3 linked regions of the Rattus norvegicus genome follow. The protein of the gene in region 3 purifies or fractionates together with the protein of the main gene of each other region. This does not show direct contact. Links are inferred from orthologs where the notes say so. Each region holds a gene or a part of one and is shown on either strand. Other genes may lie near its edges.

Region 1 (5,782 bases), on a different chromosome or scaffold from region 3:
CCTCTTCCTCATCCCACATGGGCATCGAGATGGAGTAGTGCAGGATCAGGGTCCAGATGAGTCCTAAGATCAGTTTCAGATTCCCATCCACAATGGCCTTGCTGTCTGTGGAAAAAGAGGTGGCAGCACTGCACAGTTAGGGATTTCCCTCACCAAGGTCAGCAAGGAGGGACCTAAGTCAGCAGCACAGCAAATCAATTAGATGACAAAAGGCCCCTCCCAACTAGGGGTATTAAGTGGATCAAGCTCCCTCTGCCCAGGGCCTCTGAACCATGTAAGAAAATATTTAGTGATAAAGGAAAGTTTGAGAAGACACCCATAGATACATAATGATAATATAATGCAATAAGAGGGACTCTGCCAAAAACCCCAAAGCCCAGAAAGAGGGTGGGAGAACAAGTGAGATGAATGCTTTGCAGCTGCTGAGATCAAAACCTGCCTTAATATCTTGGGATCTATGGGAACTAAGAGAAGTGGCTCAGTCCTGACTGGCCAAAAACAGGGCCCCTGACCTCAAGTTGGGCTGGAACCAAAGAAGAGGAAGGCTAAGTTGGCAAAGAGTAGTTAGGAAATACAACTGCTGCTCCAGAGTGGGGGATAAGGCAGAGGAAGTGGGGGTGTTGGTAAGGATCCTTGTGTAAAAGGGTGTGAGCTCCACCCTTTGCTACTTCCTTGTCCCCCCCACCAAGCTAGTAAACAGGAGGTGGCAAATAAAGAGGGCTGGCTTGGGGAAGGGGGCACAAGTCAAAGGAACTATGGTTAGTTCCAACCCATTGAGGCTTATAGGGAACTCCTGGGGTGACAGCTGAGTTAGCCTGCCTTTGGTTCCAAGAACCACTTGGGAACCCCTGTTACAGGGGCCTTGCATTTTGTTAAGTCCCTTTGTTTCAGCATAACCTGCTTAGATGCTACTCACCACCCAGTCTAGTTGCTACCTAATGGGCTAGGTCTCCGGAAGTCACTAGGCTTGCCACAAGGGAAGTGGTTAGGGCGGGCACCCTAAATACCCATCACTATGGCAACTCCCCTGAGCCCCACCCAAAGCCACCTCTTTAACCTCCTCAAGGGTGGATGGCTTATGGTGAGTAGCATTTTCTAAAGCTCATCTTTGGAAACCCTACAGAACTTCCCTGTAATCAGAGAATGTTGATCTAGTGAGTCAATGGGGGAGGGTCATGAAAACTAGGAGGATACCATTGAGAGAGCAGATAACATTCCAGCCCAAAGGGAAAGTAACTGAAAAACTACTACTGAGCCTCTCAAAACAGAGTGATCTTTCCGATTCACAAACAGATCCTGGCCCTTTGTGGATGTTTTTCATTGTCCCAAAATACTGAGAGAATGGGGGGGGGGTTCCAAAGAAGACCAAGGACACAAGGATCCTGCCCTACCTAAGTCATAGGTCCAGCGGAAGAACCCCCAAGGAGACCATAGTCCTTGGTAGCTTCCAAGGGAAAGAGCAAAGGCAGACCCATCATCTTAGTAAGGTACATCTGGTCCCTCCCCTAATCTGATTAGGTGGGGGGCTATGCCAGCTTCGTACTCCCCCCAGTGGAGGAGAGGATCAGGGCCCAGGGTTGGGAAGCAGCCTGGTTAGATGGCCCCGCCCCATCCCACCCCTTATCCTCAGCCCCTGGGCCAGCCGGCCCCCTCCCTCCCCTAATCACTGCTGCTTTCCAACATTTTTTTGCCTTATATGGCAAAGCTCTGGGAACTAGGCCTGCTCCAGCCAGCTCACAAGAAGGAGGGGAGAAAGAAGGGGGGAGGAGACCCCCCTAAAGAGCTGGGGTGTGGCCTGCCTCCCCACATCCGGTTGCCCCCCTCCAAGACTCAGAAATGACTCAATGACTCAGCTGGCTAGACTGGGGCTGGGACTAGGGGTGGGTTTTCATACATCCACCGGCATGCCTCTATGGCATTCCAAAAAAAAAAAAAAAGATGAACTCAAATCTGCTCTCTAAGGGCCCAGGAGAACCTTGGTCCCTCACTGGATTAACTAGCCTGCACCATTGCAAAGTTGTGCGAATAACAGAAAACCCTTTCTATTATGGAGAAAAGTCCATTCTTCTACTCTCCCTGTTCCACATTCCCATGTTACCAATTCTGGTGCCTGTCTATGGGCAACCCCTACTTTGTAAAAGGCATGGGATTCTGCAAGAGACAATGCCAATGCCAACGTCTCCAGTTCAAAGACATGGGCACTGGGCTAGCAGTAAACCCTGTGCACACTGGAGCACATTTCAACCAATCTCTGTGTTCTAGAAGTACAAAACCAAAGTTTACATGGAAACAAGAATTTGAGTCATGATAGACAGCAAAGCTGGCAACCAAGCATATACTACAGTCAAGTGCCCAAGTGCCTCCAAGTCAACCACACTCAATACACCCGGAGTACACTGGTGCCAGCAATGCATCTCTTGCCCCCCTCCGAGTTCAGCAAAAAAAGATATAAACTGGGAATTTGAACTATCTCCAATGGGGAAGCAGGTTCCAGGGCAAGAAGTTGAGGGAGTCCTACATAAATAGAACAAAGTGCAACCTTCACTTTAGAACTGCAGAGGCAGCCGAAGGCTAGAAGGGTACTTTTTAAATTATTGTAGGTGAAAAGCATGGATATCCCCAGGAATGGGGTGCGGCTCTCAGGGGCAGAAGCCTAGTCTGTGCCTGTCCCACCTCGGGTGCAGCGTTGGGGGCGCGGCCTACAGAGGATGTGAGCTCAGCCTGGGAGCAGGCCAGCAGGGCGCAGCGGGCGGGGGCGCGTAGCGGTTCGCACGCTCCCCAGGCCAGCTTGCGCGCCTTTGTTCTCGAGGACCTCGAAGAACAAGGCGGCTGAGGGGCCTAGGGGAATCGTTGGTTGTGCTTCAGCTAGGGAGGAGAACTGAGAGGGAGCCTCTAGAGGGGAAGAGAGGAAGAATTGTGGTGACCACGCCCGCACCCGCGCGTGCCCCAGTGTGGCCCGCGCTCTCACCTATGGACACGAGCTTGATGCTCTCACGGTCCAGGAATTCAAGCGCCACAGACACATTTTCCAGCTGCATCTGGCGGAAAGTGGGTCGTTGGTTGTGCTTGCGGTGCATCTTCTTCTGGCTGAGTACCTCAAGCAGCGCGATGAGCCGCAATCCATCGCTCAGGTCCGTCTGCAGATTGGCGATGCGCTTGCTCACGCACTTAAGGTGCTCATTGCACCAGCGGGTAAATGTGTTCTGCTGGATCTTCTTCCATGGTGCATCTTCTGCTAGGTCTTTTTCGGTAGCCGGCATCTCAGCGTCCCGTGTATCAATACCGCCTGCCGGAGACGCGCCTGCCGCACTCTGGCCGGAGCGGGAGTGAGAGCTACTCATTTTGAGGCGCGAGGAACCTAGGGGCGGTGCTGCAGCCTCGCCGATGGGACGGCCCTTTAATTAAAGTAGTAGGCACCTCCGCGCAGGAAAGACGAGGCACAGAACAGAGGTTGCACTGCGGAAAGAGCGAGCCCTTTAAATGGGGGCGAAGGGCGGGGCTAGAGGCAAGGTTTCCTTGGGGCGGGGCCTCTGGGTGGGGCTTGTGGACCGCGCCCGCCCTACCTCGCCCCTCCCGTTGGAATGCTCCCACAATCCCCCCATCCCCCACCGCTGCCGCCGCGACCCCGCCAAAGCAACTCAGCTCCCCTGCTTCAGAAGGGTTTTTGATCCCCAAAGAGCACAAAAAAGTCTAGCAACATCCGTTACAGTACTACAGGAAGCGGACCCCAGATCTAGGAAAACTTGAGCAATTCTATCACAGAGTTGCTCAGCTCCAGCCGTCACAGAATTGCTCAGCTCCAGTCGGCACACCCTTACAAGGGACTTTCTTACCCCAGGGTCCCTGCAGAGGGCGGAGCTAATAACGTTCCCGTATCACTTGGGCTCCGCCCCAACCCTGTACCCTGCTCTATCTTCATTCTCTGTTCTTCCTAAACTAAGCTTAGGATTCTCAGCCACAGTCTGGTCCACAGCAATGCGAAGAGTCCAATCCTGAGAGCAAACCTTTCCACAGCGCCTGACGCTGTTGCGAGCTCTTTGTGTGCACAAGTGCTGTCATACAGGACTCTCATCACCTACATAACTACCCACAGACCCCTGGCACTCGCTACCCATCTCCGCTGGTCTTCACAGGCTCCATGGCCCTGGCCTGCACACCTGTACAGGCCCATTCCCACCGTCCTCTCTGCCGCCTAGTTCCATCCTGGAGGAAATGGGGCTAGCACTGGGACAAGAGGCCGCCAACACTGTAGGACCAAGCAGCTTTCCAAAGGTCCAGGGCATGCCAATGGGCACAATCAGAAGGTGCCTGCTGTGTGATGCATGTAGATGGGTACACCTTGTACCTGCCTAACTCACTGTTCCATCCACCTTGGGCCCTGAGGAGTTTTGAGGGGAGAAGTCTTCTCTGGCAGAACAGCCCCAAGCTCAGGGATAGGTCCAAGATTACTGAAGGAAGGAGAATCACCAGACATCAAGGCTTGCTAAAGAGCCTGGGTGTGTTCCCTGAGTAGTGTGAAGCTACTTGCTAAAAGTTAATTTTATGACAGATATTTTCTGGAGATAGTGATGAGGAGCAAAGATACAGAGACAAGAAAACTGTGGGGATACTCCCAACCACCCTCTTAAGTTAAGAGGATTCATTTTACCTATATGTCTTTCCCTTGGTAGACTCCTTCCATCTACTTTCTCTGTGTTTCAAGCCTCCCCAGAATGTTAAAACTGTTTTTCCAGAAAGGCAGGTCTTTATCCCTATTTCTCAATTCTAAGCCCAGTGGCTGGAGCTGGAGAGATGGCTCCGTGGTTAGAGCACTGGCTGCTCTTCTAGAAAACCTGGGTTCAATTCCCAGCACCCTTACAACTGTCTATAAGTTCAGGTCCAGGGGATCTGACACCCTCACACAGACATGAATGCAGGCAAAACTATGCACATAAAATTAATAAGTAAAAAAAGACCAGTGGCTGAAGAAGGCCTTGGGTTGGCTAACATGTCATGCCCAAATATGGTTGACTCTCCCATGGCCTGGAGTGTCTTCATTGCCTGTGGTGACACTATGATAGGACTTTGATCATAATGGGCATCACCTTTCAGCATGGTCATCTTGAGATTGTCTATAATATTACCAGTCAAATAACATTTTCAGTAGAGAACCACCACCCCATCCCATCACCTACATAAAGAAGAAGATATCCTCTCCTTTTCTGTTTTCATAAGTGAGCCAAAGGTTGAGTTGGGGGACAGGATGGCAGAACTGTGAAAGGGTAACCCAAATGGAAACTTCCAGTGATGTTATTCAAGACACGATTAGGGTAATATTTCTGGTCCCCCTCACCTATTGGAGAGCAAATCCCCATGTATGGAATTGCATCAATAAATGATTTTCCACTCAGTGCCATTTGGGTGGATCACCTGAGTTCATCAATTTACAAAGAACAAGGAAAATTGAACCATAACACAGAGAGAGCACAAAGAACTTGTGTTTCCCAGCCCTATGATTTGGCTATTTAGGGAGAAAAAGGGAATTGGGTGGGGGGACATTCTGTGTGGACAAGTGTCACCACCAGATGTCGCTCCATCCCAAAGACCCAGATGGGGCAGCCCCAGGAAGCCAAAATCCAACTCTTTCATATTTTCCCTTATTTGGAGTAGATTCTTGGATGTTAGACACACCCCGCCCACCTCCCCACCCCATTCCTCTCAGACCCCAGGCCAGGCCCTCCCACAAAGAACTGTAGGCACAAGCCCACCAGCTATATTGGGATCCTGAAGAGCTATTTCTAGA
Region 2 (5,918 bases), about 110 Mb from region 3:
TGTTATATAGTGTTTAACAGTAGAAACCACTGATGTGGGATAATAAAACATTGAGTAGTTTCTTATACAAGCTCACTTTCAAGGGAAGAGTTATGAACCTTACACAGAGATCTCCTTGTCCCACTTTAACATAGTATATAGATGTTTATGACAAACTCGTAAGTCAGGAAAGAACCTGGTTAGTTGAAATACATTTTTCTGATTTACTTTTTGGAAATCTGATTTAGCGGCTATATTTCTCCTCTAGATTATCAGACAATATGAGGAACTAAAAGGATATACAACAAATTGGAGATGTATGAATTCCTTCCTCTCCAGCAGCCAGTTGTAGACAGCTGTTTACTCCTGTTACCAGGCTGGGCAAGGAGGAGAATGGACTTTCAGTGAGCGTTAGTGCAGCTACTATTCCTGAGGAGGTTGCTCAGGGCTCCTGTGAGTCTCATTCTGACCCTCACTGATGAGGTTCTAAATTGGAGCCACTGACAATGAGGCAGATCCGACTCTGACACTCCCCATGGTGCACTTCTCCGGAAGCATCCTTGGTTGTGGAGCTCTGATGTTTGTACTCTTTCCACTCAAAGTCCACAAACTTTAACTCTGAGGAGCTCAGCTTCCCCAAACTCCTCTGCACCTGTATTTTATTTAATTTCTGCTGTAAGGAGGAGAGTTCAACAAAAGGATTATGTTGCAGCTATGTTGGGCTATTGTTGAATTGATCTGATTCCCTGTGAATCTTACTGGAATACAGCCTGCGAATGGATCATGTTTGTAGACACTTAAATCCAGGGTAATTAGGGCAAGTTGTTTGACGCCTGGGATTTCAGGTAGAGTACAGAGGGTCTGGTGCAACTTGCCTCTTCTTGCTTTTGTGGCCTCCTCCTCTCTCCTTTACTCACTTTTTTTTTTTTTTTTTGGCTTTTGTCATCTCTGAACAAAAAAATGAACCCTTGATTTATCAACATAGACATTTTCTTGATCTATGTTGCATGAGGTGGTACAGCAGTGGCATAAACCTAGGCTTGCTTCTTAAATGTGTGCAGAGTGTGTTTGGCCCAATCTCCCATCACTGTTGCTTCCAGAGGGACGGGGTGCAGGCAGGTCCAGCCACACAACGGTTTCCCTTCATCTTAGCTGCTGCTTTAATCTCACTGTCAGACCGCTAAGAAGGGTAGGTTCAAGACAGATTTCTGAACACTGTGGTTCTTTATCTCGAAAATTCTTTTACTAGAGGACCATAGCTTAAATTTCATGAGTTTTTTCTTAAACTTATTTCCCAGACCAGAATCTGTAAGACAAACGGCTTAATAGATTTATTAATAACATACCTCTACCCCCCCACCCCCGGCCGCTAACACACACAGTGGGAGAGGGAGGGAGGAAGGGAGAGAGGAGAGGTATTGAGACTTGAGAGTCGCCAAAATGTTTTGAAGACGGTAAGGGGCACTCTGATGAACAAAATCAGCTCTCTAAAAAGTTCCCCCAAATCTAAACGACAAACAAGAATGACTCTTAAAAGGGAGGCTGTTTTCCAACCCTAGTAATTTCGCCTCCTTTCCCACAAAAGCCTGAAGTTGCGACTCTCAACAAACAGCCTCTCATCTCTTTCCTTTCATTGCATGTGGCGGGTGGGGGTGAGGAGGGAGATGTATTACAACTCTCACGTTTCTACACTTCAATTTACAAAACGCTTGCGCTTCCACCATCACCTCGGAGTTCCGCTAAGGCTGTGCTAGAGGCAGGCTTGTATACACTTATACACACACACACACACACACACACACACACACACACACTCACTCACTCACTCACTCACTCACTCACTACACAGAATGCAGCGCCAGGTTTCACCCCACGCCACGGGAAGGGTGGGGTGGCTCGCTCCGGGGAGCAGGTGCAACCTCTGGGCTGTAGGTTAACTTTTCCACCCGTCTCTCTGTTTGAAGATCTGCTCCGGACCAAATGCCTCACCTTCGGGTGGTGCGCGCCCTAGCCCGGTCCCTGGCCTCCTCCTCACTCCCAGAGGAGCAGTTCGCACCTGCCCCGGAGGGAACGGCTACGGAGCTCTCTCTCCGCGCCCTAGGGTCAGGGGTAAGATTAGGCGGTAGCTTAGGCTCGCCTGGGCTCCTCCCCTTCCTCTCTTCAGTTCTGACGCGGCCGTAGAGGCGGCGGCGGAGGCAGCGGCGGCGGTAGCAGCAGCAGTCCCGCGGCCCGAGGCGCACCCACCCGCTCCCAGATCTCGACTTCCTTTTCCCTTTGTGCGTCATCAGAACGCGCCACAGCCTCCCAGGGCGGGGTGGCTGGAGATGGGGAGAAAAGGCCAGCAAAGGAAGGCGCAGAGTGGAAGGGGAAGGGAGGGAGAGGAGAGCGGTTGCTAGGCGACTTACGTCATCGCTGGGCGCCGCTCTCCTCCCGCCCCTCTCTGGAGTGAGGCGAGAGCCCCGCACAGAGCGAGAGAGACAGCGAGCTGAGCTTCGGGCGCTGCCGCCGCCGCCGGTGAGAGCGAGTGAGTGAGCGAGCGAGCATCCGAGAGACCCGGCACCCGTGCACTGGCCGCCGCCGAGACCTTCGCCGCAGCCCGGGCCATCGGGAGCCGTGGCCGCCGTCTGCTCCCCCCCTTACCTTCCCGGCCGGCAGCGGCTGCTGCACACGCCGAAGCGGGAGCCCCAGCCAGAGCCGGAGCCAGAGCCGGAGCCGGAGCCCGCGGCCGGGGGGCAGGGAGGCGGCTGCCGCCGGTCGGGACTCGTAGCTGCTCAGCCGGGAGAGGACGCCCGCGAGGGGCTGGGCTTTCTGCCTCGCCCCGGAGTGTGGGGCGAAGGACCCCCCGAGGTGTAGGGAGGGGGTCCCGGCCGCCGCGACACATGCGGGAGCCGGGAGCGGGGGCGGCGCCGATCCGAGCCCGCCGGGTCCCCAGCCTTGCCGCCGTCCAGACCGGCCGACCCGGGCCGTAGCATCCCATAGCGGAGTGTATGAACCGGGGCCCCCAGCCCAGGAGCCACCTCCGGGCCGGGGGGGCGGGGACCCCGATGTGAAACGGCCGCGGCGGCGTGGTGAGCGGCCCGGGCGCCGCTGTCCTCTCCTTCCCCTCCCCTCCCCTTCACCCCCTCTGGGGGGCTTCTCCTTGGGCCCGCCGCCGCACCCCGGCTCCTCGGCGGGACTCCAGGAGTTCTCGGCGCCCCCTCCCCGCCCCAGCCCCCCAGGGCGGCGGGGCCGGGGGGGACTCGGGGGGCCGGCTGCAGCCTCCGCCCAGAGGAAACTTTACCCAAACAAAATCTTCGAGCTTTCTGATTGTGACTGTCCCGGGACAAGTGGCCCAGGACGGGCTGAAGCCACAGCCTGCAGAGACCCAGGAAGAGAAAAAGCGGTGAGCGGGGCTGCTGCCGCTGCCGCCGCCGCCGCCTCAGCTTCTATCCCGGCAGCGCGGAAGAGACCCGGGTAGCTGCTCCGTGGAGCGACGCTAGCACCGCTTCTTAGTTCCGCGCCTAGCCTTCCGCAGCTGCCCGCCTCAGCCCGAAGGAGGAAGGGAGCCAGCCACATTGTCAGCGCCACCGCTCGTCTCTGAAGCGTGAGTGGACCCGAAGGAGGGGGGACATTATAAGGTGACAAGTGGGAGCGGGTGGGTGCTTTGATGGTGGAGTTGGGCTGTTTCTCGGGAGGGTTGGCAGTGGAGACCTTTCCTTTCTAATTTCGGGAGAAAGCGTCAGTTTGCAGGAGTAATGCAAGTACTCGGGCGTTTTTCTTAGAGGAGCTGTGTGGACAGCTCTGTCCTCTACCTTTTTCTGGCAACCTGATTCTGGCAGTGGTTTTTGTTTCAGGGAAACTCCCATGGATTCCCACGTGGGAATCACTTGAATCAACTCTTATTTTATTTTATTTTTTTTCCTTTCCTAACTATTGTTTTTGAAGTTGCCCTGGTCAGGAAGACCAATTTTGATTTTAGTGCAAAGAGGGGTTTGGTGCCCCCAGCGCTTTATTTCATAAGTCCACAGACTCCAATGTGTAGAGTCCTTGTTTGCATGTTTCATTTGGCTCAGGAGAATCCGAGTTCCTAGGATGCACAACTCGCTGAAACTTATTTCAGGGAGAGCACTTGCAACTTCTCTCTCTCTCTCTCTTTCTCTCTCTCTCTCTCTCTCTCTCTCTCTCTCTCTCTCTCGTCATCTATTTTAAGTGATAACACATTTCTACTAGGGACTGAAAGGACATGCATGCTGCTTTTCTTATTTGGCTCTACTTGTCAACATAGAAACTTGTACTCTTTTAAGAAAGCACTTAGCACACTGAGTGCTAAATTAGAGGTACAGAAAAGTAATGTTTCAACTATGTAAGGTTAAACTAAACATCTTAAGGCAAGTACTGTGGGATTTTGTGTAACAAGGAACATAGGCAGTGTAAGACTGAGAACGCCGGTCCACCCAGACAACTAAATTTGGGCAGAATAGAGATCCTCCGTAGAAATGAATGGAAACCTGGGAGTATCCATTTATCTATCCACCCATTCTAATCTCTCCATTTAGGATCTTGATTAAATTTCTTTGAAAGTTTCTCACACTTCACAATGTTCTCCCCTCCTCTTCTTAAAGTAAGGAACCTTCAAGTTTATTATTCTGCACTATGTAACAATTTACTTCTCTTTGTCCTGCCTTCTCAATCTTTCAGGATACAGTTTCTTTGAGGAATGCTAAAACACTGTGAGCTAATCTTACATTTCTTATAGACTTTGTTTGATTTCTCCTATCATCTGTTCCAACTTTTTTTTTTTTTTTTTTTTTTTTTTTAGTTTACAGGTTTCAGGTTGTTTATTTCAGTGGAAGTTGAATAAATATATTCAGTGGTCACAGTATTGTCATCCTATCCTCTGACACAGATATATTATCTTGATCTAAAACAAAATTAATTTTTGCACATAACCAGAGGCCCATATTCCACCATGGTCTTTAATAATCAATGAACCTAACTGTGGCCCTTTGTTCCAACTTTTTTTAAAAGACAGTTTTACTATGTTACCTTGACTGTCCTGGAATTATCTCTGTAGACCAGGCTGGCCTAGTATTCACAGAGATGTACCTGCTTCTGCCTTCTAAGTGCTGGCTGGAATTAAAAGGTGTGTGTCCTGACTGCCAGCCATGTTGAAACTTTTGTGGCCCCCCAAACCCCATTTCTTTGGCTATCTTTCCCCTCTTTCTGGGTCTTCTAGCTCTTTATGTTTTGTTAGATACTTTGTTCTTCTTATGCTTTTACAAGACACCTTACATTCTACTTAAGTGGCATGAAAATATTGAATGGTAAATTTCTTTAGATTTAGAATAAAACACATTTTTTGATTTGCTAACCTTACTTTGTTACCCTGAGAAAGTCATGTATTCCAGCTTTGAAAAAGATGATACTTGAGAAACTTAGACTTGCATAGTTTGCTTCTTGGAAAGAAGGAGAGAATAAACCAAGAAGTGGTACTTTGAGTTTGTATTGCATCTGGTCAAAGTTGCTTACCAACTGGAGGACCTGCTTTGTGGGAAAACTGGTTTTAAATTGTGGAAATACTTTACTGTAATAAGAAATAAGTAATAAGAAAACATTTGCTACTTTCAGTCTTTGAGGGTGCCTTTTCTTACCAATACCAGAGGCAATCAATATAAATTGTACAAAACTTTAGGAAAGATTGGGCTGGTGTGATAGCTCCGTGGGTAAAGCTGCTTGCTGCATAAGTCTAAGGACATGTAGTCCAGCGGTGGAAGGAGAAAACTTAACTGTACAGAGTTGTCCTCTGACCTGTGCTGTGTGCATGAACATGTAGTAGTAGTAGTAGTAGTAGTAGTAGTAGTAGTAGTAGTAGTAGTAGTGTGGCAGTAGTAGTAAAAATAAATACATTTCTTAAAAATGTCAGAAAGGGGGACATGTGTCGCCATTATTACTCTTAAGAT
Region 3 (4,557 bases):
CTAAGAGTAATTCTAAACTCTTGAAAAACTACAGTATTGATATTTTGGTAATATCTAATATTTATAGACAATTTTCTCAATGATTTCTTTTATCATTGACATCATTTATAACCTGCTATAATTTAATAGTCGTAAACACCTATGCTAATCACTTGGCACTGCATGTAGTTTTTGTCATAAAAGTCTACTTTTATACACGTACTTAAAGGAAATGTATTACACCTGTTGGTGAAACCATGGTTAAACCAAATTGCACTATAAATGTAAGCATAGACAATATCCCCCAATTTACCGATAATCACAAAGCTCTGATACCTTCCCAAAGTAAGTGCTATAGGCAGACATGACAACACACACACACACACACACACACACACACACACACACACACACACACACTCTCTCTCTCTCTCTCTCTCTCTCTCTCTCTCTCCTCTTTCAAAGTAACAGTCAAAAGTCAAAACAAAACAGATGCGTAGGACACTAGGGCACAGCCTCAATTTCAGGATGGCTGACTCAGGTGCGCAAGGCTGGGCATAGTTTTGTGTGAAGAGAAACAAACAAGAAGAGTTATTGTTAACTTTCGAGGGACGAAACCACAGATTTTATACTCTGTTAACTGAGGTAGTGTTTAAAATGAATGTCTAAAATGTTAATCCCATTTATGAATAAGACTACATTACTTCCTTTGGAATTGTAACCACTATTTGGTCTAGTATCTCTGACATTTGGTTCTCTGGAAAGGCAGTTTTATTATCCAAGACCAAAGACCAAAGTGACAGGCATGCTCTGAGAAGCACTGCTGACATTTAAATCGAAGTTTTCTCCTCACTGATTTTCCGAGAACGAGAACGGTGTTGTACCACGAGCAGCAGCTTAGAGCCCTTGTCTGCTTTGTTGCCATGGAGGTTGCTACACAGTGCACATGAGAACAACTCGCTGAAGTGCAGTCGAAGAAGTTAGGGAGGGAGATGAAATCTTCATCCCAGTGCGAACTTTCAGTGCCAGCAAATTATAAGAAAAATCTCTGTGAGTTATGCTTCCTAGTTCACAGGGCACTTTACAGCGACCCTGCAAACAAGAGCATTATGAGAAGGGTGTACAACGTGGGGAAATATGGAGCAACGTCTATGACGTGGTAAAGCTGATGTGCATTGTAAAATGGGCTACAGAAAGGAATTAGAGGGTCCCAGTCAGTCCAGCTGGATGGTCTGTTCTATAGATGGTTTCAAAAGACAGCCTCTCACAGATAAGCATTCTAGTCATGATGCTCATGCTATGTTATGTACAGATTTGCATATATGTTTAATTCCCGTGAAGATTTCCAAGTGTCTTTATACATATACAAATTAGACAGACAGACAAGCCTTGCCCTCATCGACTTCACAAATGTGATAAAGGCAATGACTGTACTCATAACTCACCTATAACTGCAATTTATGCAAAACAGGAACACTAACAACAATTAAATTATCCCTCTTTAAAATTTAGTAATTAAGGCTTTCACCACAATTTTTCCTCTTAAAAACGAGTCTCAATGACTTTTTAATAGGACATATGGCTCTTCCTTTTTTCCATGGAATGTGTGAATTGCAGGCAAACTTGTCTTTTCCTTGAGAGATTGCAGTATCACTTAATGCTTTCCTTTGCTTTGGGTCCAGACCACTAATGCTTGTCCAATTTGTATTCAGTGGTGAGAAGAGTTGATGAGGTCGGAAGGCCACTGGCTATAATGTGTTCTGGACATGAGAAGTATTTCAAATTTACTATTTCTTTTGATCACATTGTAGTGAAAACCCTTAATTAGTAAGAACAGCCTTTAAGAACACATTGCAACAAAGCTGCAGAGGAGAACGAACAGGCATCCGTATGCAGTCTAGCATCATCAAATAACTCCCACGTTGCAAGTGTTGGGCTCCCTTTGCTCTGGAGTTATCAGCCTCTGAAGTAGTGTCACAGACATGAGGGAGTGTGGAGAGGCCAGCGTGCTCCTGATACCAGCAGTTACAGCCGTGGGTAGCAGGATGCAGCCTTACAGTCAGTGACTCCTGGTTTCCACACACTAGTTAACAAACAAGGCATCTTTTGCATTTACCCTTGATTAAAAAGCATTCAGAAACAACTGTGTGAAGGATGCTTCTTCATGTCCTGTTTTGTTCCACTGCCCTTATGCTTTTAAAATAAAAAAATAGAAAACCTATGTAGGTATTCAGTGCTTAGCTCTTGCATAAGATGATAACTGAATTAAAACCGTGGTAATGAATCACGAACCCCAAGAAGGGCCCGACACGGGAGAGAAGGTGGCCTGGCTGGGGATGCCAGCAGCTCTAGCAGTTCTGTACCAATCACTGCTGGCCACAGTCAGAAGACTCTCCTGCCTCGCTGTCAGCCAGTCAGTACTCTGTGAGGCTTTTAGGAAATCCACAAGTTTGAATACATATATAGTTTCTAGCTATAAACATCATAAATATGAGGTCAGGATTCGGCAGATTCGTCAACTATAGGTTGATTTGGTGGAATTGCCAACACAGCCTCTGCTTCTTCATGCATCTAGGAAAAAGTAATACATTGTTAATTTAAAAAAAAAAACAAAAAAAACCAAAAATGGCACATAATATAGATATAATCTTTCAACTTACTTCAAATACAGAATAATTCAGGGAGACAAACTTCAGAACGCAGTCTTACTTACCTGTAAGAACTGTACATCCTGGAACAACTCCTGTATGAACCTCCGGCAGGGAAGTCTGAATGTGCAGTGTGACAGCAGGTGAGAGACTTCAGAGTAAAGGCAGATGTCATCAAATGTTTGCGGGTACTTCTCTTTAATGCTAAGATGAAGAGAGACCACGTGGTAATAAAACTCTAACATGATTTGTTCATTTTACCCCTCAAAATGGCAGTTTCTGCTCATTTTTTTCTCTCTCCAGATACTGATTAGATGAAATGTTAGGAATGGTGGCTTAACAGTATAAGAAAGTCAATCGGTTTGTCTGTCTCTTTTTTTCTTCCAGCCGTGACCAATGCCTCCATGCCTCATTCATTCCCTCCAACCCTCCTGCCTCTGTCTGCCATGATCACATGCGCATCCACTTAACGTGAAGCCTCTCTACTTCACACTTTAGACAGTTTAAGTTTCTGCTTTTCGATGATTATCAAAAGCTGAATGCTTCTTGTAGTTATTTTCTAGTAACGTAAGAAAATCATGAATCTTATCAGACTCACATGACTACATAACATGCTCACACTGTAAGGCATTTAAGTAAAGTTCATTTCAAGTTATTATGAGAACAGCACCTCAGAGCCAGCCGCGTGGGTGGGAGGCTGGGCTGAAGGCTCGCTTCTGCAGCCCCGGACCACACAGCCAACACCAATAGCATGTATACTTCTTCAGACAATCGCTGCTTCAAGCCATGCAAATACATTTTCATTATCAGGCTTTGACTTAGAAACACAATTTAGCCAGGAAATCCCACCAGTTTATTACCTAAACTTGCTTCTCAAGCATATAGTCTTTTGGTCTTCCTCAACTTTCTTGAAAAAATCTAAAAAGCTTTATTTATTTATTTATTTATTTATTTATTTATTTATTTATTTTTGGTATGAGTTATAGCCACCAACTTCAGAAACTGGAATTTAGAAATTTTAAAAACATTGTATAGGTTAAATAGTAAGTTATTTAATTAAAACCCCCAAATTTTAGCAAAACAAAAAGAGGGGGGTGTGCAAGGATGGCCCTGCTTTTAGAGTTAGTTTCCCAGTTGTGCAGATCTGTTTAAAAGTCTGGCTGGATCCTCACTCACTCTGGCCTGCAATCTTCTCTACAGACTGAGGCCCCCAGCGCATCCCCTGTAAGACCCACTCAGGGGGGGAGCCCACAGCAGGAAGGCAGCCTGTGATGTCCACAGCGATGGAGCACAAGTGTCTCTGTCACAACTTGCAAAGCAAAGCAAGCTGACACTCTTCACACAGTTACTCACGTCAACAGCCCGGTTTCGTGACACTTGGTGGAGACTGAACTACTCAAATTGACAACCAATCTCAGCACTTCTTTACGGAGCAGGATGCGGCACATGGGTGTGTCATCTGGGATGGTTTTAACACCTGAAATGAAGACGCCAGAGTGAGGCCCCTGAGCACATCACAATACAGAATGATTACAGGCCACGGGATCTATTTTCAGACTACATAAGCAACTAAAACTGGCACGGGCTGCACACACCCTGCTAATGACCTCAGAGCAAAGCTCTAGCAGAGCAGATCACGGACAGGGAACCTGCGAATGGACGGCACAGGTGCACTCTTTAAGAGTCTGCTAAACGCTTTCACTAGCGCTGACCTGCACAGCCTGAGATGACTCTGATTTACAGTGCATATGCTAATAAGCAAAACCAATTGAAGACTGTTTTATTAAGGAGCAGGAAACTGAACCCCAAGACTCACCCAGTAACAGTTCAGTGCTTTTGGTGCTGCTCGCTGAGCCTTCTTCTTGAGAAGCACCATCGCTGCACCCAGAAATCCCCGAGAACTTAGAGGGAACCACTTCCAAGGGATTGT

The links.
Region 1: the proteins of Rictor (region 3) and Flna purify together in Homo sapiens (affinity purification with mass spectrometry; 3 studies listed by BioGRID and IntAct, with this or other methods). This does not show direct contact. The link is inferred for Rattus norvegicus from reciprocal best matches to the Homo sapiens genes RICTOR and FLNA.
Region 2: the proteins of Rictor (region 3) and Fbxw7 purify together in Homo sapiens (affinity purification with western blotting; 3 studies listed by BioGRID, with this or other methods). This does not show direct contact. The link is inferred for Rattus norvegicus from reciprocal best matches to the Homo sapiens genes RICTOR and FBXW7.

The regions. Positions count from the first base shown.
Region 1 is NC_086039.1:157,178,834-157,184,615, forward strand, and holds the start of Flna (filamin-A), read right to left. Parts: upstream 3,511-5,782; 5' UTR 3,342-3,510; coding exon 2,969-3,341; intron 106-2,968; coding exon 1-105. UniProt on the Homo sapiens protein: Promotes orthogonal branching of actin filaments and links actin filaments to membrane glycoproteins. Anchors various transmembrane proteins to the actin cytoskeleton and serves as a scaffold for a wide range of cytoplasmic signaling proteins.
Region 2 is NC_086020.1:172,445,330-172,451,247, forward strand, and holds the start of Fbxw7 (F-box/WD repeat-containing protein 7), read left to right. Parts: upstream 1-2,408; 5' UTR 2,409-3,562; exon of another isoform or gene 3,563-3,596; intron 3,597-5,918. UniProt on the Homo sapiens protein: Substrate recognition component of a SCF (SKP1-CUL1-F-box protein) E3 ubiquitin-protein ligase complex which mediates the ubiquitination and subsequent proteasomal degradation of target proteins.
Region 3 is NC_086020.1:57,624,997-57,629,553, reverse strand, and holds part of Rictor (rapamycin-insensitive companion of mTOR), read right to left. Parts: coding exon 4,444-4,557; intron 4,105-4,443; coding exon 3,981-4,104; intron 2,832-3,980; coding exon 2,693-2,831; intron 2,551-2,692; coding exon 2,476-2,550; 3' UTR 1-2,475. UniProt on the Homo sapiens protein: Component of the mechanistic target of rapamycin complex 2 (mTORC2), which transduces signals from growth factors to pathways involved in proliferation, cytoskeletal organization, lipogenesis and anabolic output.